Linked DNA regions of Arabidopsis thaliana. The protein of the gene in region 1 interacts with the protein of each later gene in a pairwise test. Each region holds a gene or a part of one and is shown on either strand. Other genes may lie near its edges.

What was found.
Region 2: the proteins of ASIL1 (region 1) and AT3G11590 interact in a two-hybrid assay, tested with the Arabidopsis thaliana proteins (one large-scale study listed by BioGRID).
Region 3: the proteins of ASIL1 (region 1) and PDE334 interact in a two-hybrid assay, tested with the Arabidopsis thaliana proteins (one large-scale study listed by BioGRID).

Annotation. Positions count from the first base shown.
Region 1 is NC_003070.9:20,177,473-20,184,796, forward strand, and holds ASIL1 (6B-interacting protein 1-like 1), read left to right. Parts: upstream 1-3,137; 5' UTR 3,138-3,499; coding exon 3,500-4,651; 3' UTR 4,652-4,902; downstream 4,903-7,324. Other genes in the region: AT1G54050 (HSP20-like chaperones superfamily protein), read right to left, coding at 2,086-2,349, 2,447-2,650; AT1G54070 (Dormancy/auxin associated family protein), read left to right, coding at 5,211-5,460, 5,546-5,639, 5,743-5,770; UBP1A (oligouridylate-binding protein 1A), read right to left, coding at 6,451-6,717, 6,849-7,025, 7,122-7,207, 7,306-7,324. UniProt on the Arabidopsis thaliana protein: Transcription repressor that binds specific DNA sequence such as the GT-box-like motif 5'-CGTGATT-3' in the AT2S3 promoter. Negative regulator of seed maturation genes during seed germination and seedling development.
Region 2 is NC_003074.8:3,656,956-3,666,089, forward strand, and holds AT3G11590 (golgin family A protein), read left to right. Parts: upstream 1-3,342; 5' UTR 3,343-3,542; intron 3,543-3,641; 5' UTR 3,642-3,672; coding exon 3,673-4,155; intron 4,156-4,208; exon of another isoform or gene 4,209-4,830; coding exon 4,831-4,953; intron 4,954-5,319; coding exon 5,320-6,582; 3' UTR 6,583-6,779; downstream 6,780-9,134. Other genes in the region: AT3G11591 (bric-a-brac protein), read right to left, coding at 6,825-7,016.
Region 3 is NC_003075.7:15,571,198-15,578,155, forward strand, and holds PDE334 (ATPase, F0 complex, subunit B/B', bacterial/chloroplast), read right to left. Parts: upstream 3,541-6,958; 5' UTR 3,390-3,540; coding exon 2,895-3,389; intron 2,827-2,894; coding exon 2,662-2,826; 3' UTR 2,356-2,661; downstream 1-2,355. Other genes in the region: AT4G32250 (Protein kinase superfamily protein), read right to left, coding at 1-9, 234-707, 812-903, 984-1,331; AT4G32270 (Ubiquitin-like superfamily protein), read right to left, coding at 3,818-4,091, 4,174-4,268, 4,483-4,582, 4,705-4,804, 5,013-5,163; AT4G32272 (Nucleotide/sugar transporter family protein), read right to left, coding at 5,998-6,072, 6,171-6,227, 6,321-6,428, 6,515-6,612, 6,693-6,737, 6,836-6,958.

The DNA of each region.
Region 1 (7,324 bases):
TAATGTTTAGTTATAAATGTACTATGCATTCATACTAAACCATTTCTCATAAGTCATAACTATTAACCAATAGTGATTCATCAAAATTTTAATTTCTCAATTAATGATTTTAAAATTTCACAATTTATTAACATTGATTGATAAATTTTACAGAAAATCAATCTTTTTCATACAAAATGAAAACCTCTGAAAATCATTTTTTATGATACAAGGAGTAATAAAAAATAAAAAATTATTTTTTATTAATTTGTGTAAAATCCAAAACATTATGTTTCTAAAAACAGAAGGAACACTAAGTTTGATCAAACAATTAGGAATTTGAGCTTTTGCTGAAAAAAAAAAGAAAAAAAAAAAGAAATTTGCTATAAAAATATATCTTGATTTTTTTTTTGTGCAAACATTATGCATATATGATCATATCGGAAACAAGATGTATCCCAACTATTGGCCACGCGGTTGTTGCGGACTTGAAGTTGTGCAGGCCCTGATGAAATCAATTATCAGCTGTGACTTTAGCTAAAGGTGTAAGTGGTCCTGGTGAAGGAAATCAATCGCTAGACAACTAAAAATGTATGGTACAGAGTAGATACTATATTAAATGTAATAATGTGAATATTAATTACGTGGTCCTTCTAATATATCAGAAGCATTTTACAATATTTTGCTTAAAAAACAATAATACAAAAAAAAATTGTTGATGGTTATTTTATGTATTCATCAGAATCTCGACAACAGAGAGCAACAACGCATTCGCAAACTTTTTATTCAAACTCAAAAACAAAATATATTATCTGGTTTCTACCCATTTAATTAAACATGTAATCATATATGAAAGTTATTTATATACTAATAGAGTGAGACCTCTATAAATTAATACTTAATATCATTACGGTTCTGGAACAACTCATGCCACTGTACTACACATATATCTTGCTCATTTTCACGTTAATTCCTCACTATTTCATTTTTCTTCATAAATATCATGGCTTCAATCCATACCCAAGAAAACCAAAAACCGAATTTCATCTAAACAGAAGAAGACTAAAAAACGAATATAATAATTAACCATCGTAGAAAGTTTGTAAAGTAATCATATAACATGAAAATTCAAAAAAAAAAATCAACTATTTTTTATTTGGAAATTTAATACCCAAATATTTTTAGTTTGAAGAAAATTTTATATATTAACTAAAAGATGTGAATTAATACCCAAAAATTTATGTGTTGTTATTTTTATATACACGAGTTTATAATAAATCAAAATTTTCCAACTTTACTCTTATCTCTTTAATTAATTATTTATTTTATTTTTAAAAAATATTTTGGTTCTCTTTTTACCGAATTAAACCGAAATCAAAACTGGTTATCACCACCACCGAGTTTTGTTCGTCGATGTGTTAACCAGCTTCTTGTTCGTAGAGAAGAATTTGCAAAGGTAAGAGTCGGTTAACATGGTGTTGGTGAAGAGGGAAGCTCTAGAAAGTTTATAAAGCCCAGATTGACAATTGGCGTGTTGGTTGTTGGATTGGGAAAGCTCATCGGGTTAACATGACAAGAACAAAATTTGGTGGTGGTAATAACCAGTTTTGATTTGGTTTAATCCGGTTAAAAGAGAACCAAAATAATTTTTTTAAATTAAAATAAATAATTAATTAAAAAGTTAAAGATAAAATTGAAATTTTTAATTATTCATAAAATCATGTATAAAAATAACAACATATAAAATTTTAGATATTAATTCTTGTATGTTTTAATTTGTATATGTATTTTTTCTGACTAAAAACATTTGGGTATTAAACTTCTAAATAAAAAATAGTTTGAATTTTTTTTAGAATTTTTCCTATAACATTAATCTTGTAGAATCCACAAAAATTTTGTAGAGCCCAGTGCCTTAGGAGTATCTTATGGTGGTAATGTCGACAACGTTTTTATTTGTTTTTGGTTTTGGAGGCTAAACCTATTTATTTCTTCAATTTCAAAATTTCGACAAGAGAACACATAAAAGAAACAGAGTCTTTTTATCCAAACACAGAAAAATTACAAACTAGAAAACAAACACACACAAAAACAAAACACAGAAACTACTCAAGAAACAGCGATTTGAACAGTCTTAGGTTTCGGCGGCTGTGGCGGTAGCTTCTTGATAACAACTGTCAAAACACCTTCTTGATATTTAGCCGTTACAGAAGCCATATCAGCATCTTCTGGTAACCGGAACTTCTTAACCAAATTCTGAGCAAGTCTCCTCTCGAGTCTAATATACTTAGACCCTTCTTCACTCTCATCATCATCTCTCTTCCTCTTCCCATTACTCTTTATCACTAAAGTCCTCTCTTCCTCCACTGTAACCTAATTTCCCACCAAAACCCCCAAATCATAAATTAAATTAAAAAAAAAACCCTAATTTCATAAACAATTCAACATTTCTATGGGATTATATCAATACCTGGATATCTGATTTTGAAATTCCGGGGATATCGAGATAAAATATGTATTCTTTGGGAGATTCCAAAATGTCTATTGGGATATTATTGCTACTTCCTCTTCCACGACTCTCGTTATTACTTTCGCCGGAACGAGAAATCGGGAGAATTAGCTTCTCGATCGCCTCCGGTAAGCCAAAAAAGTGGTTAATCGCAACAGCACTCATCTTCTCCGATCAATGACTGCCAGAAAACAAAACAGTTAAAAAAATCAACAATTCTGAAATTTTCCAGGAAAAGATCGATACAGAGAATAGGATCATTACCTGGGAATTAGGATAACCCTTTCCAATTGGATCTTCCTCTTCTTCGATTTGATAGTATGGGGTTTGAAATTTTCACTCCATTGATATATAGTGAGTAAACACCAGTGAGCTAGAAAGTTCCAGAGAAAATTTCTAGAAGTAACTAGTGAACTTGAGAGTTGTTTCAAAAGCTTCCACGTCATTAAATCTCCTTTTATTGGGCCTTATAAGTTATTTATAGGCCGTTTAGCACATTGGACTTGATTTATGTCTTTGTTCTATTTTGTATTTTTATTTCTTATATCTGTTTTTATTGGGCCTTGAAAGTTATTCCAGGCCTTAGCCCATTAGACTTGATTTATCTCGTTTTATTTTAGTTAGAGTTTTTGAGACTTGAGACAACCTACCTAACCATACTATAGACAAGAAAATAAAAATACTTTTGTATATTAGAGAAATTTTGAAATCCGTCAGTGTGTATATTCAATATTCCTAACGAAAAAATGGCCAAAGCATAAATACCTTATAGCGATATTTGAGTATTTACCATAAAACCATTCGAATACTGTCACGGTTCTAAATTTCTAATATTGTTCTTTTGTTATTAAAGGAAAGAGTGAAGGGTGTTTTCGTCATTTAACATATCCATCGGGTCAATAACGGAGATTACCTATCCGGTGACCTTATCCCCTCGCCGGTGAGCGAATCTCAGATCCAAAATTTTGCAAAATCCTCAGATCGTCTTACCTTCTCCGAATCGATCGATTTTTCATGGAGGACGACGACGAGATTCAGTCAATTCCATCTCCGGGAGATTCTTCCCTTTCACCACAAGCTCCTCCTTCTCCGCCGATTTTGCCAACAAACGACGTGACGGTGGCCGTCGTGAAGAAACCACAACCGGGGCTTTCTTCTCAATCTCCGTCCATGAACGCTTTAGCGTTAGTGGTTCATACTCCTTCTGTAACCGGTGGTGGTGGTAGCGGAAACAGAAACGGACGAGGAGGAGGAGGAGGAAGCGGTGGTGGTGGAGGAGGAAGAGATGATTGTTGGAGCGAAGAAGCTACAAAGGTTCTAATCGAAGCTTGGGGAGATCGATTCTCTGAACCAGGTAAAGGAACTTTGAAGCAACAACATTGGAAAGAAGTAGCTGAGATTGTGAACAAGAGTCGTCAATGCAAATACCCTAAAACTGATATTCAGTGTAAGAACAGAATTGATACGGTGAAGAAGAAGTATAAGCAAGAGAAAGCTAAGATTGCTTCTGGTGATGGACCTAGTAAATGGGTTTTCTTCAAGAAGCTTGAGAGTTTGATTGGTGGTACTACAACATTCATTGCTTCTTCAAAAGCTTCAGAGAAGGCTCCTATGGGAGGAGCTCTTGGGAATAGCCGTTCGAGTATGTTTAAACGGCAAACTAAAGGTAATCAGATTGTGCAGCAACAACAAGAGAAGAGAGGCTCTGATTCGATGCGGTGGCATTTTAGGAAACGTAGTGCTTCTGAGACTGAGTCTGAGTCTGATCCTGAACCTGAGGCTTCTCCTGAGGAATCTGCTGAGAGTCTCCCACCTTTGCAACCGATTCAACCGCTTTCGTTTCATATGCCAAAGCGGTTGAAGGTGGATAAGAGTGGAGGTGGAGGGAGTGGAGTTGGAGATGTGGCGAGGGCGATACTTGGATTTACGGAAGCTTATGAGAAGGCGGAAACTGCTAAGCTTAAGTTAATGGCGGAACTGGAAAAGGAGAGGATGAAATTTGCTAAAGAGATGGAGTTGCAGAGAATGCAGTTCTTGAAAACTCAATTGGAGATAACACAGAACAATCAAGAAGAGGAAGAGAGGAGCAGGCAGCGAGGAGAAAGGAGGATCGTTGATGATGATGATGATCGCAATGGCAAGAATAACGGCAATGTAAGTAGCTGACAATTGAACACACAAATGTTCCTATGATATTTGCTATGATAAGCTGGATTTTAGGTTTTGATGTTGTTGTTGTTGTTATTGTTACTGCCTTGTGGGATGTGTAAATGTAGAGAAGTTATGACTCTGATTATCATCATGTTGTTGTTATTGTTATCCATCTTCTTGTCTTAAACATGGGCAAATTAAAAAGCTTTGAACTTGAATAGCTTGTTGAAAACCTCTGTGATTCTTAAGTAGAGTTCTGAACTAGTAGTTTGTGATTCTAAGTTAAGACACAGCTTATAGAATATTCACCAATGAGATTAGAGACTAATGATTGGATTAGTCAGCATATTTATCCTTAAATTAAAATCTCCTTAATTAAGCCAAAGCTTATAATTAACCTCACTAAAAATATTCAATGCTTCTCTCTTCTCTTTCATCCTTACCTCTCTACTACCTCTATAAAACCATTTCCATTGCAAAGGAAAAAAAAAGAAGATAGAGACAGTAAAATAAAAACCCGAAATAATTTGAAAAAATATTGTTATATATTTTTGGATAAATTTTTGTTGATCGGATGGGGTTCCTACACAAGCTGTGGGATGAAACGGTGGCCGGACCGACGCCGGACAATGGTCTCGGGAAATTGAGAAAGCACGATTCATTATCCACCGTCCGATCTTCTCCTCCTTCTCTCTCAAGCGACCAAGTCACCAGAAGCATCATGGTTACCAAGGGGAATAACAATGTTCGTGGTCTCCGTAAATTGAAAATGGATCCGGATTCTCCAACCTGTTCAAGCAGCAACCCTGGGACACCTTTAACCCGTATATATTTCTCATCTTCCCTTTAAACTAAATTAACAATAACAAAATTAAGACTCACATTTGGGTCAAACACATTTTTATGCAGCTGGGACACCATGCTATGCTTTGGGACCATTCACTGCCGGCAAAATCCCTTCCTCTGGCGAAGACGATGCAGCAAGTCTAACTACTTATGAATGGTTATCATCTCTATCACTTCATTTCCTAATCAATTCTCTTTTTTGTTGTTGTGGGCAAACTCTTTATGTGTGTACTTATGATATGCTTTGTGTACGTATGCAGGATTGTGATAAACGCGTTGGACCGTTGAACAAGCCGAGAGAGAAAAATCTTACGGGGTTTTTGTGTAAATATAAATAACCTATGCATGTAATTATGTAAATATTTACTGATAAGGTCAGTATTAAATGTAATGTCTCTTGAATCAATGTACCCTATTACAGGGTCTTGAAAATATTATTTGAACCCTGCCAATTTCCTCTAATCGTTTAAATGTTGAAGCCTATATCAAGATTCTCTACTACATCCTATGAACGACAAAGGCAAATAAAAAAACCTTAATTATATACTTTGCTGCATGGCAAAGGACACTCGTGGACAGAACACTTGATGCTTAGTTAAACTGGATTTCCGACAAAATAAAGTACTAACATGAGAAATGAAACTATAAAACTTTTATAAAAGACAAATTACTTTGTTTCAAACCTATCATTACAGAACCACAAACAACATTAACCCCAGAAAACCAAATCCCCTTTTATTTGATGTTGTCTTATTGCTTGGCTTACAATCCAAGTAAGACCTATAGGTTACAAACTGAGCATAAAGCTCTGCATACATAAATAAAACCAACGGCTTTAAATGAAAGAGACACATACATAAAGACTCTTGAACAAGGAAGGTCTAGAAAAAGCAAGAAAGTTATAAAATTAAGAAGAAGAAAAAGAAAGAAACAGAAAAAGGTATCTCAGAGCCAGTGAAGAGGGTTTATTACTGATAGTACATGAGCTGCTGATGGGCCGCAGCTACATTCTGATAGCCACCATCATACATAGCTGCAGTTCCTCCAGCAACATTGACTCCAAGACCTGCTTGCCTCAGAGAATGTTGAGCCTGAGGATGCATCTTGGCTAGAGCCAGTTGCCTCTCGTAGGCTAAGAGGTCCATTGCAGACAGAGAAGGGACTGATGCCGGGGCTGGTGGGGGAAGTGGGTTTGAGGCTGTGCCTGATGGAGTTGGTTTGTTTCCCCAGGAACACTGCAATAAATCACAGAAACAAGGAAATGGGTTTAGGGGAATACTGGTAAAAACCAATTACAAGCAGACTTTGGTTGTCTACGTAGATGCAACAACAGATAGATCTATGTAACATTAACTGAAGCAAATACCCTTATCTGTCTGCTAAAGAGGAAAGGCTGAGCGTTGCCCATCTGAATAGCAAGAGCAGCCTCGTCATGAGTGTTATATCTCACAAAACCAAACCCTTTGTCTCGCTGGACACGGACCTCTTCGATCACTCCAGCACCAAGGGTATAGAATAGACGGTGTAGATCAAGCTGAGTTACCTGCAAGATTGACAACTGTCACGAGGCGCCAAAAAGAAAAACCCCAGGAGCTGTTGCAGTGTTTATAAAGAACAATTCGTTAAGTTGACAACTTACTTCTGGAGAGAGATTTCCTACATAGACAGTTGTAAATTGAGGATTGTTTTCAGGGGCATCTTCATTTGACAGCTCTCTACCATCCTCTGCAAAATCAAGTATTATATCAATGTAATCTCCATGAAAATCTGCTTTGAGGAAGAAAATAAAAATTTTAGAAGTTGCACAGTAAACAAAAGAAAACCTGAAGATCCGTTAGTAAG
Region 2 (9,134 bases), on another chromosome or scaffold:
TATGAAACATTATATACAACCCCTAATATAATAATTCATTAATTTATTCACATTAAGTTATTGGTTTCTATTTGAATATTAGAGTTATTTAATAGCTGTCAAAAAAAAATAGAGTTATTTAATAAACTTAAAAAAGTCAATATTATTTTTGATCGTATATTACAAAAATCATAACGGATGATAAGTTTAACACACTGTTCACTATAGAAGATAAAACATTTAAAACTTTTACTTCTAATAGAAAATTAAAATAAAGAAGGTTATAAAATGGAGAAGACAAAAATAAAAGGTACGGCTAAGTTTGGCGGTTTGGGAGAGTTGAAAAACAAAAGAAGATAGAGATGGTGGGACAATGAGAACAACACACAATTGCACGCCTCTCTCTATCTACTCTCTGAGCTCTCTACATTGCATCAAAATTTCGATTATTTGAGAGTCCCCATTTCAAAGTTAACCACCTTTTGCTTCTTTTATTACAATATAATGTTAAATCAGTAGTTTACGAACGCCTATGAAAATGATCAATTGTAGTCTTCAACATTACCAATCAAGATGACAATATAAATACACGGTGTGAAATACTGTAAATAAAAACATAAGAGAAATCATATACGACTAATTAAAAAAAAAATATATATGATTCGATGCCTTCGCTTATAATTTTTATAGAAAACAAAAAATTATTGTATTTTCTAATTTTTTTTTTTAACTTTATTTTCTTTACGAATGAAAGATGTGTTTTAATAAAGAACTTACATTATGGGGATAAATAATAATAGAAAAATAAAAATAATGAAAGCCTATATATATGTATCCCTCTAATGATGTGTATAATTAGGATTAGACATCTCATAACTCTCAACAAGTTGACTTGTTGACTTAGCTCTTCGTCAATGAGAGCGAACATGTTTGTTGGAACACATCATTAGTGGACAAATGAATGCAGATTAAAAGAAAAATTATAATCAAATTTTCTAGAAAAACATATGACAGATACTTTGAGAGATAATAGAGTTTTTGTTTGATTGAATATAACATATTGTGGTTTGTTTTCACGTGGTTTAGAAAAGAAACAAGAGTGGGCTTTTAAATTGGGCCCACAGAGTGGCAGAAGCAGGGCTGAGAGAGTAATGGGTCCTACAAAACGCCCATGATCCCAAAATTTCCAAAGAAAATGGAGACAATCTTCTGTGTTTATCCGAAAGCTACCCTCACGCTTTGGATTTTCTTCTTCTTTTTTTTTTCTCTCTCTTTTCTTTTTTAATACTACTTATTTTTCTATAAATTTGTATATCTAGCTATAAAGGTAATAGAAAATGGTAAGTTATTTTTTCCTTCCGGTACAAAAGATGAAAACATGCAATAGTCGGCAAAGGTCCACACTCCACACATTTGTCTGCACATCTATCCAATATTCATTCATAGGTTCAACCACAACTTTATCTACTACATATATATTTTTTATTTTATTGAACGAATTTATATTCGTTTTCCATTTCTGTCATATATCATAGTAGATGTTGATAGTTGGGTAATGGAGCAAGTGAAAGATTGATGGTTGGTAGACCATAGATTCATGCATTCATACCATAAGGTATACTGATGGTGATTGGGTAAATTTTTGAGTCAGCTATTACAATTGAAAAGTTCATCAAATGACAAAACTATTACAACTTAGATCTTTGACAGCCAAAAGAAAAAAAAAAAAAAAAGAGAAAAAAAAAACTAAATTGTTGTTAGAAATTAGAAGTCAGAAGTAAGAAGACTCCCATAGGAATACAGTTCTGGCAACCAATTTCTTAGTTCTTTATTGGGCATTCATATCTTAGTTGGGCCTGACTCATATATATTTTGAACTTTTTGTACGCAATTGTATCTAACACTATAGTCTTACATTGTTCATATATTTAATGTTTTATATTGATTGCTACCTATATATTTTGATATGATGTAGATCCAACTATTTCTAGGTTGAATTGTCTTTTCGAACAGATTTTGTTTCCGGATTCACCATAAAAAAAAAAAAAAACTTATGTGACAGAAAGTACTATAGAAAGAATCGTGTTTACAACAATAAAGAGACTTGACCCAAACAAAAAACGTTTACAACAATAAAGAGTTGAACAATAATACGGTACGATTGTGTATGTTGAATCATCTCCTCCACTTGGACGTGTCCATTTGACAACGGAAAAAAGTGTGGCCGTGTTATCTTTCTTTGTAACGTTTACAGTTTCAATTGTTTAGTTTGATCAAATAATTAACTTGTGAATTTTATGGATGCAATATCTTGAAAACTAGGAAATCATATCTGATCATCCTGCTATAAAAAAAATAATACATGCATTTTAATATTCATGGTTTCACATGAATACTTCGGTCATCCATTTTTCAATTACACGAGTGTAAATCTGTAATATCAATATTCATTTATAATTATAACGGGTTGTGATTTGTGAAATTGTGGGTATAGATAAAACTTCAAAACCTATTGAAATGAATATCTATATACTTGGAATAGTAGTAGACACATTTTGTAATGAGTAACTTAAGCACACCGGTTCTCACTCACACTCGTCTAATGGAGAAAAATGGTATATTATATACCTCATATAGGAACATGATCATATGATTTAGGAGTCATAAGCATGAGATTAACAAGATATTTTGGTCCACATTAGGAATCTACTAAAGGAACTATTTTCTTATAACCTAAAAATCTTGGTTTGGTAAAAAGAACAACCTTAGATTATTTGGTCTTTTATCGATTCATGTAATTGTGTATCAAATGATTAAAATCTAATGCATCCTACTCAAACACGTCATTTAAGAAACCCTATATAGTACAAACACGATCCAATCTCCAAATTAACCCATAGTATATCATAGACGAGCATAATATTTTTGGTCAAATATAAAATTAGATGCACTAGTTCCCTTTATTTAGGCAGATGGACTTTCTTCTAATCGAAAATAATTGTTCTCAATGAGCCGTCAAACTTTGTGAAATATGGATATAAATTCATGACATCTACATAATTTTTGGTTTAACATGTGAAATTGAACTTAGGATCTATTTCATTCGAATTCTTACCATATACTAACCAAATATAAATAATGTTTACTGCTAAATACTATTTATATAAGTTTGTTCTTCACTAAAGAAATTTGTTGATTAGTTTGTTTTTCTAATTGAGAATCTCTTATTTCAGGACCGATAAAAAGGAAGTGATTTCCGGTTTTCGATTCAATTATTTCGGTTTAAGTCGGTTTACAAATCATCCACCCTGTAAATCACGGAGCAACATCCATAATCCATACAGATCAAACCACGTGGACATGTTACAGTGTTCCTTATCACAGAAGATGAGTACTCCTGTCATCTTTCCCCTTTTCACTTTAACATAACACTCTGTACACTAGTCTGATCAAAAAACCTCAAAACACAGCAACCGCCATTTCTTTCCAAATTCCCCCAATTCCCATTCCAACTTTATCTTCTGAAGTAGAAGAAGAAGCCATAGAAATGCTTTGAAGTTTCTGTAAGTGTTCTTACTCACTCTAAAAACTTCAATTTTGGTCTTTGTGCTTTTTTCTAACAGATCGGTGAAATTTTCTGAATCTGCTTTTTGTTTTTCCAGGTAAAGAGAAAGATCTACAATTGTTTTGAATATGCCGAGGCAGAATCAAAGCGTAGAGAATCTACTTCTACTTGGCAAAATCAGGAAACGTGGTTGTTCTTCGCCGACATCGTCGACTTCTTCGATTCTCCGTGAAGGTTATAGATTCAAAAGAGCGATAGTTGTTGGTAAAAGAGGAGGATCCACTACTCCTGTACCTACATGGAGACTTATGGGTCGATCTCCTTCTCCACGAGCTTCCGGTGCTTTACACGCTGCTGCTTCTCCGTCGTCTCACTGCGGGAGCAAAACCGGTAAAGTATCAGCTCCTGCTCCTGTTTCAGCTAGGAAGTTAGCTGCGACGCTTTGGGAGATGAACGAGATGCCTTCACCTAGAGTTGTGGAGGAGGCTGCGCCAATGATTAGAAAGAGTAGAAAGGAGAGAATCGCGCCGCTTCCTCCGCCGAGATCATCGGTTCATTCTGGTTCTCTACCGCCTCATCTTTCTGATCCGTCGCATAGTCCAGTCTCTGAGGTAAAATGCTTTGGTTATGATTGGTTGAGAGGAAGAGAATGTGCTGTAATTCCAACTTCTTGCTGGCTGCCATGTGCTTTAATTCTGACCGATCAAAAGAGAGAGAGAAAAACAATAATATATATAGTATAGTATTGATTGATTCGGGGAAGTTATAAAGATCTCATCTTTAACTGATAAAATTGATAATCTTTGTGTGATTCTAAGGTCTGAATTTAGTCAAAGTTGTGATTTTTTTGGCAACCTCTATGAGTATTTTAATCATCAAGGGAGATTATTATTCGTATAAGCTTCTGGTTGATGTTAAGGAGTGGGATTAGAGAAGAATAGAAAACTGTTTTGATCTTAAGAATCTTTTGTCATGTGCTCTATAACGCACATTTATGTTTATATGAAAGGGCGTTTCTTTATAAGTTGGTGCCTATTATTCTTGCATAATTGGGCACTTCTACTAGTTTTTATTCTTTCTCATTCGTTGGTCATATGGAGGTAGCTGGTTGTTTTTTAGAGGTTGATTTATTGTGAATAATGTAGGCCTAGATTCTCTTATAATGGAGACCTAAGAAAAATTATATATAATGCTAAATCTGGCAATGGACAATGCGAAGAATTCTGCTTTCTTTACTTCTGTGTGTTAGGTAATTGGATAGCTGAGAAACTTGTTGATTTTTGTAGAGGATGGAAAGATCAGGGACTGGGAGTCGCCAGAGAAGAGCTTCATCAACTGTGCAAAAGCTTAGGCTTGGAGACTGCAATGTGGGGGCTAGGGATCCTATTAACAGTGGCAGCTTCATGGATGTAAGTTGATTTTTTTATTTTTTTTTCACTCTTGGGGATGTTTCTTTGAGCATTATGAGGAACCCTTTCTTCTAGCAGTTTTCATAATTTTCTCAAACCAAATTTGGTATTTGATTAAGGATGAAAGTAGTATATTATTGAGCATTATTGGCTCCAGAGGCTGTTGGTTTTTTTACTTTGGAAGCATACGTACACATAATCTATGGTTTGTTTTGTTATGCACAGAAACATTGCAAATAACGGTATAAGAAACTAGGAGACACTCAATCCGTTATGATTAGTTAATTTGCCTCCATCATCTATAAATCAATATGTGTGCAAGAGAGTGATGTTCAAAAATATTTGAAATGTGTTTTTCCAATGCAGATTGAGACTCGATCACGGGTGGAGACACCGACTGGGTCAACTGTGGGTGTCAAAACACGGTTGAAGGATTGTAGTAACGCTCTCACAACATCAAAAGAGCTTCTCAAAATCATTAACAGAATGTGGGGTCAAGACGACCGCCCATCTTCTAGCATGTCCCTCGTCTCTGCTTTACATTCTGAGCTCGAAAGAGCTCGCTTACAGGTCAATCAGTTAATCCACGAACATAAACCGGAAAACAACGACATTAGCTACTTGATGAAGCGTTTTGCCGAAGAGAAAGCTGTGTGGAAAAGCAACGAGCAAGAAGTTGTTGAGGCTGCAATCGAATCTGTTGCTGGTGAGCTAGAAGTGGAGAGGAAGCTGAGGAGACGGTTTGAGAGCTTGAACAAGAAATTGGGCAAAGAATTGGCTGAAACAAAATCAGCTCTGATGAAAGCAGTTAAAGAAATCGAGAACGAGAAGCGAGCGAGAGTGATGGTTGAGAAAGTTTGTGATGAACTAGCAAGAGACATAAGCGAAGACAAAGCCGAAGTTGAAGAACTGAAGAGAGAATCTTTTAAAGTCAAAGAAGAAGTCGAAAAGGAAAGAGAGATGTTGCAGTTAGCAGATGCATTGCGGGAAGAGAGAGTACAGATGAAACTATCGGAGGCTAAACACCAGCTCGAGGAGAAAAACGCAGCTGTTGATAAGCTAAGAAACCAGCTTCAAACTTACCTCAAAGCAAAAAGATGTAAAGAGAAGACCCGTGAACCACCTCAAACTCAGCTACATAACGAAGAGGCTGGAGATTATTTAAACCATCACATCAGTTTTGGATCATATAACATCGAAGATGGAGAAGTCGAGAATGGAAATGAAGAAGGTTCAGGCGAAAGCGACCTTCATTCCATAGAACTGAACATAGACAACAAGAGCTATAAATGGCCTTATGGTGAAGAGAACAGAGGAAGAAAATCAACGCCAAGGAAAAGCCTTTCTTTACAAAGAAGCATATCGGATTGTGTTGATTGGGTTGTACAGAGCGAGAAGCTTCAAAAAAGTGGAGATGGAGGGTTGGATTGGGGAAGATCTATTGACGTTGAGCCTAAAGGGTATATAGATGAAACACAAGCTTATAAACCAAACAAGGCTTCTTCAAAAGATCACCATATCCTCTCGGGTTCGAGACTAAGTAACTTCCGCGGTGGATCTGTTTCAAAGTCGCGGTTATCGGATGCTTCGAAAGGCGAGAACCAGAATGCCAGAAAATCAAGATGGTAATATGATCAAGAAATTTTATTCACATTTTCAGCGCAGAGATAACAGAATCTAAAGACTTTACATCTACATTTTTTCTCTGTTCGCTCGTTTTGTCAAGAGTGATTCTCTCATCTGTAAGTGACATAAAACATGAATTTGAACTGGTAATGATCCAAACATGTAAGAGCATGAATTTACACGAAATCGTCTTTTGATTTATATCATTTAAGAGTTAGAACGCCTACAAGATCGAAAAAAAGACACTAATCGTCGAGCCATTTCCTGATTCGATCCTTGACGAAATCATTACGAGCTTTGACGCGAGCTTGTTGCGGTGAGATGTTGGCGAGTGAGAGATACGCTCCGGCGACGAAGAGAGAAACGCCCGCCGCGAAAAAACCCACCGACACTACTAACTGCCGCCGTGTCGGCGGATACGACATAAAAAACACCATCTTATCGTTTACCGCCGTCTGTTGCAAAAGCTGTTTAATACTAACTGTTAATGGGCCGGGGTTTTTTATTTTATTTTGGGCTTTATTTTTAATCTCCAATTTCTCAACAAATTAAAAAAAAAGAGTATTAAAAAAAAGGAATGAAGATTAAACCGAGAAGGCGAGAACTTTTTTTTTTTTTGTTATTGGTTATTTAATATTATAAACAATGGTTTAATGGATTATTTTCGAATTTAGATCCATACAAAATTTGAAAAGAGCCCAATCAACTATACCAAACCGAACCAAGCTCTTAAATCAAAATCGACCCGAGCTAATAAACTGACTAAACCGATCTACTATGAAGCCCTAATCTTCAATCGGAAAATCCAAAAAAGCCGCCGGCCAACAGATCTGCGAATATTCTTCGGAATAGGACTTCCGACGAGTCTGGACAATGCGAGCCGAACGGAGATGGTAACACAGATTTCGTCGCCATCCCACGACTGTAGAGCAATATATGATTGATTGTTGATTTTTATGGTCTGTGTGTGGGTTTGTTGATCTAAATCTTATTGTATTGTAAGATCAAAAGCCAAGAAACGAAAGATCCGGAGTAAGCTCAACATCATAGCAAAAATGTTGCTCGTGAGGAGGACTAAGATTTGGCTTTGAGCTTTGATTCTACGACGTTTTACTCGCTATGAATCTAAACATTTTGTAAGTAAAGCGTGAAGCTTATGTCGAAATCATATTATAGCTACTAAAATAAGTAGAATGTCTAATCTCTTAGATCAACAATATAATATTAATAGGCTACATCTTTATAAAAATTAAGGCTAGTATTTACTTAAAATTAGTGTTTAAGGATATTTTTTTTAAAAAAAAAATCATAACATTAACATTTATGAAAATTATTTTTGATTTTCATGATATTAACTCACAAAATCTCATTTTCAATGAGAATATTTGAAAAATGGTAAAAAAAACTCTTGTCTTTAAAAGAAAAATATGTATTCAAGGCAACAATTTAAATTTTTGCCTTAAACCGCTTTTGACCTTCGCACATTATGTTTCATAGATAAAAAGAGTTATGGAAAAAACTTTAGATCTTAACCTAAAATGCATGAATTATAGTTAAGGTTGGTTCGATATTGATAACATTATGATATTGCACATATATTAATGTGATTCATGTGCCTGAAAGATCTGAAGGTCTTGTCAAACGAAGTAAATTTAATTTTTGTTTTAAGAGATCTGAGATCAAAAAAATTACTGAGTAGCTATATCAATTAAAATCTATTGTTAGTTTTCAGAAATAGAGACCGAAAAAGAACTACTGTTCTAAATTAATAGTGTTAGACATTGGACATAAAATGTACAATCTTGCATAAAACTGGTTTGATTTGATTTTTTAATGTCGTAGTTGTTATAATATTACATTAGTATATGTATAAAGCAAAATCTTCAGTCCTCTAATCTTCCCTCTAGTTTTCATTTTCTGTTCTTAGAAGCATTTTCCTTCACTATAACATTAAAGTTTTTCCTAATCTTGCTTCTCTTAGCATTTGTAATAGTGGTTTTTACAAAACGATAGGATTAACAAAGACAAATTCTTAAAACTAATTCGGTTAATTGCTCTACTCGACTTGAGAATCATTCATATTCTCTGTGACAATAATTACTTTAGCTTTTGTATTGTGAAGTTGAGAATAAGTAAATTAATTAAGCTAAAATGTCTAAATTATCAAATTGTTTGGTTAGTCTGTCCATGTCGTTTACACTTCTAAAGATTTACGTATTTGTAAGGGATTTTAGTCAACTAAACTGAATCATTAGATGATATGCATTTAATTTAATTAGCCGTATTTATTATAATCCACGCGTCTATCATGTTCAGATACGGTCAAATTTAATCTTTAAATGTAAAAGTATAGTTCATGACCACCAATTAAGCAATGTATCAAACTATATAATTGTGTAAATATTTTTTTTACAAAAACAAAAAGACAAGAAATATTAAAGCTAATTTATTTTCTGTTTTGTCGACAAAAATAACTGTAATTTAACTTTGGTTCTCTTTATTTTAACATTTTAATTCCATGTATTTCTACAGGTATTGTTACATAAGATACCAAA
Region 3 (6,958 bases), on another chromosome or scaffold:
TTCTGCAAGCTGCCAAATCGGTTCCAGTCAATATCACAATTAAAGGTAGCCAATTAAAATTTCCATCAAGAATAAAGAAATTGGATTCCAAAAAAATATTAAAACATCAGACACGAAACTATAAAAACTATGGGATTTTCCGAAGATACTATGACCATACATAATGAAATATAAACACTTCTAAATCGATCTTGTTCAAACTGAATATATAACGGTGTCAAGATATGATTTACCTCTTTAAGACGAGTAAGATGTCAGTCATCGAAGGTCGGCTTCGAAGATCATACATAAAGCAACCCCGAAGTAGGTTCTCGAGAGGAGGCGGTATGCTACTGGGGATACTAAGCTTTTCTTGCTTTCTCACCACCAAATCATATATTTCATCGGCAGATCTCCCAGACCAAGGTTGTACACCAGTCAGCATTTCAACAATGCTGCAACCAAATCCCCAAGAATCAGTCTCAAAGGACATGGGACCTCTGACATCCGGTTGCCACTGTTCTGGTGCCATATAGTTTGGAGTTCCAAGTCTCTCTGTCATATCAGAACTTGGTAAAGGGATACTAAGAAGGAGATAAGGGATCCCAACATCCCCGAGGATGGCCTTGTCGTTATCACTGAGAAGAAAGTTAGAGGGCTTGAGATTGAGAATGAGAAACCCTTTTGAGTGCAACTCCAGGATCCCTGTAGCCAGATCAACCCCGTATCTGTAAAACGAGGTTCACATAAATAAGAAAGACATTAGTATTCTATATTACAATGAAGAAGACGCTACTACAATGAGCTTCTTACTTGTGTAATGAAGAATTACCTCAAAACATCTGGCAGTGAAAGCTTTCCTCCTTTAAGCCGAGCCATCTTGTCACCAAGAGAGCCCTCGTAGAATTTCATGACGACACATATCTACACGATACAAATCAGCTATTAAACAAAAATTGAAAATACGGTGAAACTAGAGAAACACACATGTTTGTTTCACTTACCTTTCCATTGATACTAGAGACTCCCCTGAGCAGACAGACATTCTCTAGTCCTTGACATTTAGAGAAGAGATCTTCAAACTTATCTACCACAACCCTTCTTTGATCTTCCTTGATGGGATAAAGCATTTTGATGGCCACTTCATGATGCTCATCATAGTCCTCAGTTGACTGATGATGAGTAGCCAGCCAAACATCACCGAAGGGACCTCTTCCAATTCGATGTCGAAGCTTCAACGTTGATGAATTCATCCAAGGGCTTGTCCCCGCTGCTAAAGCGCTCTCAGACTCACCTTCAATGATTTCATACTCGGTATCATCCGGCTTGCCAGCAATAATCTTTGAAGCCATTTATCTCTGTCTGAACCAATAAACACAGTTTCACCAGTTGGGATATCGCATAAACTCAACAACAGAAATCAAACTATTTAAGCAACAAAAAGGACTTTCCTCTCACTTGTTAACTATTCTTACAAGCAGATAGAGAAAGCAAGAAATGATTCCGAAACTAAACATCATGGTAAAACGCAATACATGGAATTGAAGAGAAAAGTCAGAAACCAGAGACGTGCCCACTATGGGAATAAGTTAGCGATACGAACAAGGGACAGAGACAGTATCGTGGAGAAGTAGAATCGTGGAGAAGTAGAAGAACAAGTAACAGTAACCAAATACAAAGAAAACCAATTAATGCTAGATAGAATCAATCATGAGTCAATCAAAGTTAACCAGCCAATGTTTTGATTGAAATAAGCCAACAATAAAGACAACTCTCAGATCTCATAGAACAAAATATTTAAGCGAAGAAATCAAACTGAAATTGAACTAGAGTTGCAATGAAACCAGAGAAAAAAATCACAGCTTACGAAGCATAAGAGAAGGGTCAAAGAAAGTAACCGACAATGAGGGAGAGAAAAGAGCAATTTCGACGGATTAAGAAGCTTTTGAAGAAAACCCTAACACCAGTAATGACGCGAGCGAAAATGGTAACACAAAACTCCAAAGGCCTGATGAAAGAGAGACGAAGAAAACAAGCCAAAAAAACTAAGAATTGATCATCGGGAACTGAAACAAGTAACTTCAGAAGCTGAAAAAGACAGAGAAGAGAAAGAGAACCGTGAGCGTGAGAAGAAGAAGAAGAAGGAACAAGGCGTGGAGGCCCCGTCATTTGTTTTAATCAAACACCGACCCGCGTTAGCTTTAGGGCCCATTTCGTTTTAGGGCCCAATAATAAGATAGAGTAACTGAGGTTTGGGCTTCGTTGTTGGACCTGAGCTCGTTATGGAAGAGTCAACTTAACTTTCTATGAACACTTTCGGACAAAGCTGGAGTGTTTGGCTCTGAAAACTCAATTTCTCTCTACTCTTTACACAAGCAACTCCTGCCATTTGCGTTTTTGTTCAATCGATTCAAATAGACATAAATCTAGTGACGATAAGACTCGCATGAAGATTTTATCCGTAACAACTAATTCCTCGATATACATACTTGTACTTTAATCATCTAAAATGACAGAAGAGAGCTAATTATTTATAAACTTACAAAATAAAAATTGTTCTTCTTTGAACGACGAACAATCCAAGAAACAGAGAAGAAGAAGAAGAAGAGATTTACAGTAATTTCTTGTAAATAAGTTTTGAGATAGAGAGACAGAGAATTACACAGTTAACAAAAATATAATTTAAGAAGGAAGAACCTTCTTGACAATGTCTTCACTAAGAGCAGCAATCTGAGAATCCAAAGCTTTAATGGTTTCTTCTTTCTGACTCTCCAAGCTCGCCAAAGCTTCTTTTAGCTCTTCCTCCACCTTCTTCCTTCCCTCCGCTAGCTTCTCCTCGACTTCAACCTGCAAAAAAAATACACAATCCATTTACCAATTTCTTCACTCTGAGTGCATTGTTGTTTCTTTTATACCTGAGTCTCCTTCTTCATCTTGTTAAGCGCGGCGGCGATCTCAGCCCTAGCTGCTCTCATCACGGCGGCGGCTTGCTCATCGAGCTCCTTTACTTCAGTCGAAGTGTCCTTAACACTCGCGAGCTTCTCTTTGATGGAAGCGTCTCTTTGATCCATGAAGTTACCAAGCGGAGAGTAATAGACCTTGTCGAGAGCGAACATCAAGAAGAGAAACTCAACAACGATGATCGGAAGCGTGAGATTGAAATCGAAGAGCTGTGCTTTCTCCATCGCCTCCGCCATCGACGGAGGAGCGAAAGCGGCGATTAAAGCTAAGGATTTGGCGGTGGCGGAGGAGAGTGATAGTGCTTTGCTACGGAGATCGGTGGAGGAAGTGAGGGATTTGGGAATTTGGGGAAGTTTGGCGAATTTGGGAATTTGGACTCGGTTTGGTTGTTGGTTGGATGACAGGGAGATTAGGGGTTTGGAGGAAGCCATTATCGAATTAGCAGCCATCGCCACACACACAGAGAAGAGCTTCGAGAGATGAGAAATGCTCAAAACTGTAATCTCTTTGGAGACGAATGGGAGAGAGAAGAGATTTGCTTAGGAATGTTATCTCTTCTCTTCGCCACACAAATAAGCTAAAGGCTGTGGTCGTCAGATTAAAATCAATGGAGCGGAAAATCAATTAAAAAGTAAATGATTGCGTTTTGGCCACAAACGCAAACACAAACGCAAACGCAAACGCAAACGCGAACGCTGTACCAGATAAGGTTAAAATGGCTAAGACGGTAAGGTTGCAATTATATCCACTACAAACGTAAATACACAATGCCTTATTCATTTTGCACACACACAACATCCAAGTTTGTATATAAACACCAAGATTAGGAAATCAAAATCTCTACAAGAATCAAATGATAGAAAAGGAGTGCTTTTTTTTAGGTTTCGGATATGAGTTTTTTTCTGTTCCACACATCCTTCTCGGAATTACACTTGAAACGAAACCTTGCAATGAGTTTGTTAAAAACTCTACTTGCAGTCACGTTTCTGTATTTAGTACCTCGTTGACTTGGCGTCGACTTGTAAGAGAGCAAACCTCCCAATACAGTTGCTAGAAAGCTTGGTTGGCTCCGAGGGATGGAGTCAACAACACCGTCTTCTTCAACTTCCCTTATTACGTTCTTTTTCCGGGTTTCCGGTGTGGTTGAGAACCTGATTGGTCCAAAAACATGTATTACTATGGAGATTCCGGATAATGAAATGCTAAAAACATTTTAACACCAAAAGTTCTTACAGTTTGAGTTGTTTGAAAGAAGAAACACGGGGTGTCTTGCTCTTATGCTTCACCATTAACATGCAGTAGTTTGAGATATGGCGGATGAACCGAAGCTGAATGATGGCAGATAAAACACATTATAGAGCATCAAAACAAAGCACTATGTTGTCAAAACTAAACTGGACTATAACAATCTACATAATCCAGGTTAGAGACTCTAGCTACCCAAATGCATCGTTCTACGACATCACATGTAAAGATGAAATAATATCATAAGCATAGACTCTTTGATGTATTCAAGTGATAAAGAAAGAGTAAAAGGGTAACCTGATCGCCGTCTTTAATGCCAAATTCAGTGAGGTACTCAGACTCATTAATCAATCTTTTATCTTCATAAGATAAGCAGAATTGTCCCCAAACATGCGGCCTTTATAATCACAGGGTAAAAATAGGATCATCAAGAATCATTTAGCAGTTACTTATCCTAATATAGACACAAAATCGGAATCATTATAAGAATAACTCAAGTCAAAGAATCAGAGATGGTACCATGAGATCTTGCCAGGGCCTGAGATGGGCAAGTGAGAAAACGCAGCTTCTACTGCCATCTTGAGCTCCCCTACTGTCGCTGTCTTCAACACTTGAATACCTACAAATCCAAATTACGCTTAAAGGGAATTGTACTAAATCACAAATTCAGAAACCAGTCAAATTTCTCTGGACAACCTCAAACGAAACAACACAGAAAAAACTAGAATTCGTTGTAAAGCAATAACTTTTAGTTCTTTTGAGCAAACATTCTTAGTTAACATATAAAATTTAATGGTAAAAGCAAGTAGGAGATGAGTAATGGGTACCAAAGGAAGATCCATCAAGCTTGAGAACAGTGAGTTTGATGGGCTCTTCAGGCATCTGATTATAATTGAAACTCCTCCGACGAGGGAGTCCATCGATTAGCCGGAGAGGCGAGAGAGACGCAGCCAAAGAGCGGCGTGGTGGAACGTCCATAGATTGATTATTGAGAAAATTTGATTTTCCCGGGCTAAGACATCTACTTCCAAGATTTTTGGCGACGGAGTAGGAGAAATCAGAGCTTGAGTTGGGTCAGAGTGGAAGATTGATACCATGAGCATGGGAAGAGGATGAGGAAGGGGAATATACTTTGAAGGAAATCATGGTTAAGGGATCTCTGCTTTTTTACCGGCGAGAGAATGTTTTGCTTTTGAAGAAGGTATGGAACACGATTACAAATACAATTATATGATATATAAAACAACTCAGAAGGATGTAGCAACAAGCACCCATGGCCTAATGGATAAGGCGCTTGACTTCTAATCAAGCGATTGTGGGTTCGAGTCCCACTGGGTGTGCTCTTTTTTTCTTTTCTAGTACTTGCAATTTTAACCGTTGAAGTAATTATTTTTGCTTTCACCGAGCTCTTTGCAAGAATGCCTAGTACCAAATCATCATTGAACGCTTTAAAAGAAGCAGTTGTATAATTACAGTCATCCTTTTCTCAAGTGTGTATAATAATACTACATATATACAATGAAAAGAAGCAGTTGTATAAATTAGAGTCAGTAGATCTCAAAAAAATAGAAAATCAGTTTTGTCCATAGTCTAATCTTTCGCCTTGTTGAAAACTGAAGAAGAACAAGACGCAAGTTCAAAAAATTAGGCCTTTCATTATTAATACTACTCTAAAGTCACCTCCAAAACCAAAAGCTCAACACTCTATCTCCACTTGAACACTACTAGTCAACAACTTTTCCTTAAACTAATGAGCCTTTATCATCACTAGGCCACTCATGTTTTCTTTGGCTTTTCTTTGTTTTGGACTTGTTACCTCCCGATGATCTTATAATATGCATATAAACCTGACCCGAAGAAACCAAAAAGCTGTCCAATCACATTCATCTGTGTAAATGAACCAAAAAAGAAAGGTAGTGAGATGTAGCAAACGTAGATGCCGATTTTAGGTTCAATGGAATAATAGGAATGTTGAAGAAAATTACCAGGTCGAATGGGAGTCCTCCAAAGAGCATCCAGCCTAGTCCAACCGTGAATAGATCCTGCAACGATGATATAATGTTCAAAGTCTCTCCTTGGCAGATTAGTTTCACATTTTTCTTTTGTACAGGAGATACTAATAAAGTGAAACCAACCTTCATATTGCCACAAATTGTCTGCGTCAAAGCTGAATTGAGAGTGGTGTTAAGGAAAATGCAGTAGTTTAAGACGAAAGCCAGCACGCACGAGCAGAGTAATACAACCTGGGTGAGAACATAACAGAAAAAGAGATCATCAGTATCACAAACGCAAAGTGGACAGATATAAGGCAAATAATGATTTACGGTACCATGAAACCAGGAGTTAAGAGGTGAGGAAAGTTAATTGTCTTCTCCAAGTCACCGCAAATAAATGTCCAAATCATCAATATAGGTCCGCATATAATTCCTATCATTGAAAATCTCACAAATTCAAAGCAAGTCTTGAGTGTTTAGGGTCAATTTAGTTATCTGTTTAGTTTATATTACCATTGGACCACATAAGGCCAAAGCTATTCAAGCCACTTGATTTACCTGGAGAACCAGACATTAGAATTGGGTAAGAGAGATTTCACTCTGGCAGGAGGACATGTAGTAAAACAATTTATTCAGAGAGCGAGTAACTAGTGTACCAGTACGGGCAATGGTTGCTAGATATACTGCTGTTGATATGTTGGCTAAGAAAACAACACCATATCCATAAAAGTCAAATGACAAGTCCCTAGCTCCAGCAAAAAATGCGCCAAGCAAGATAA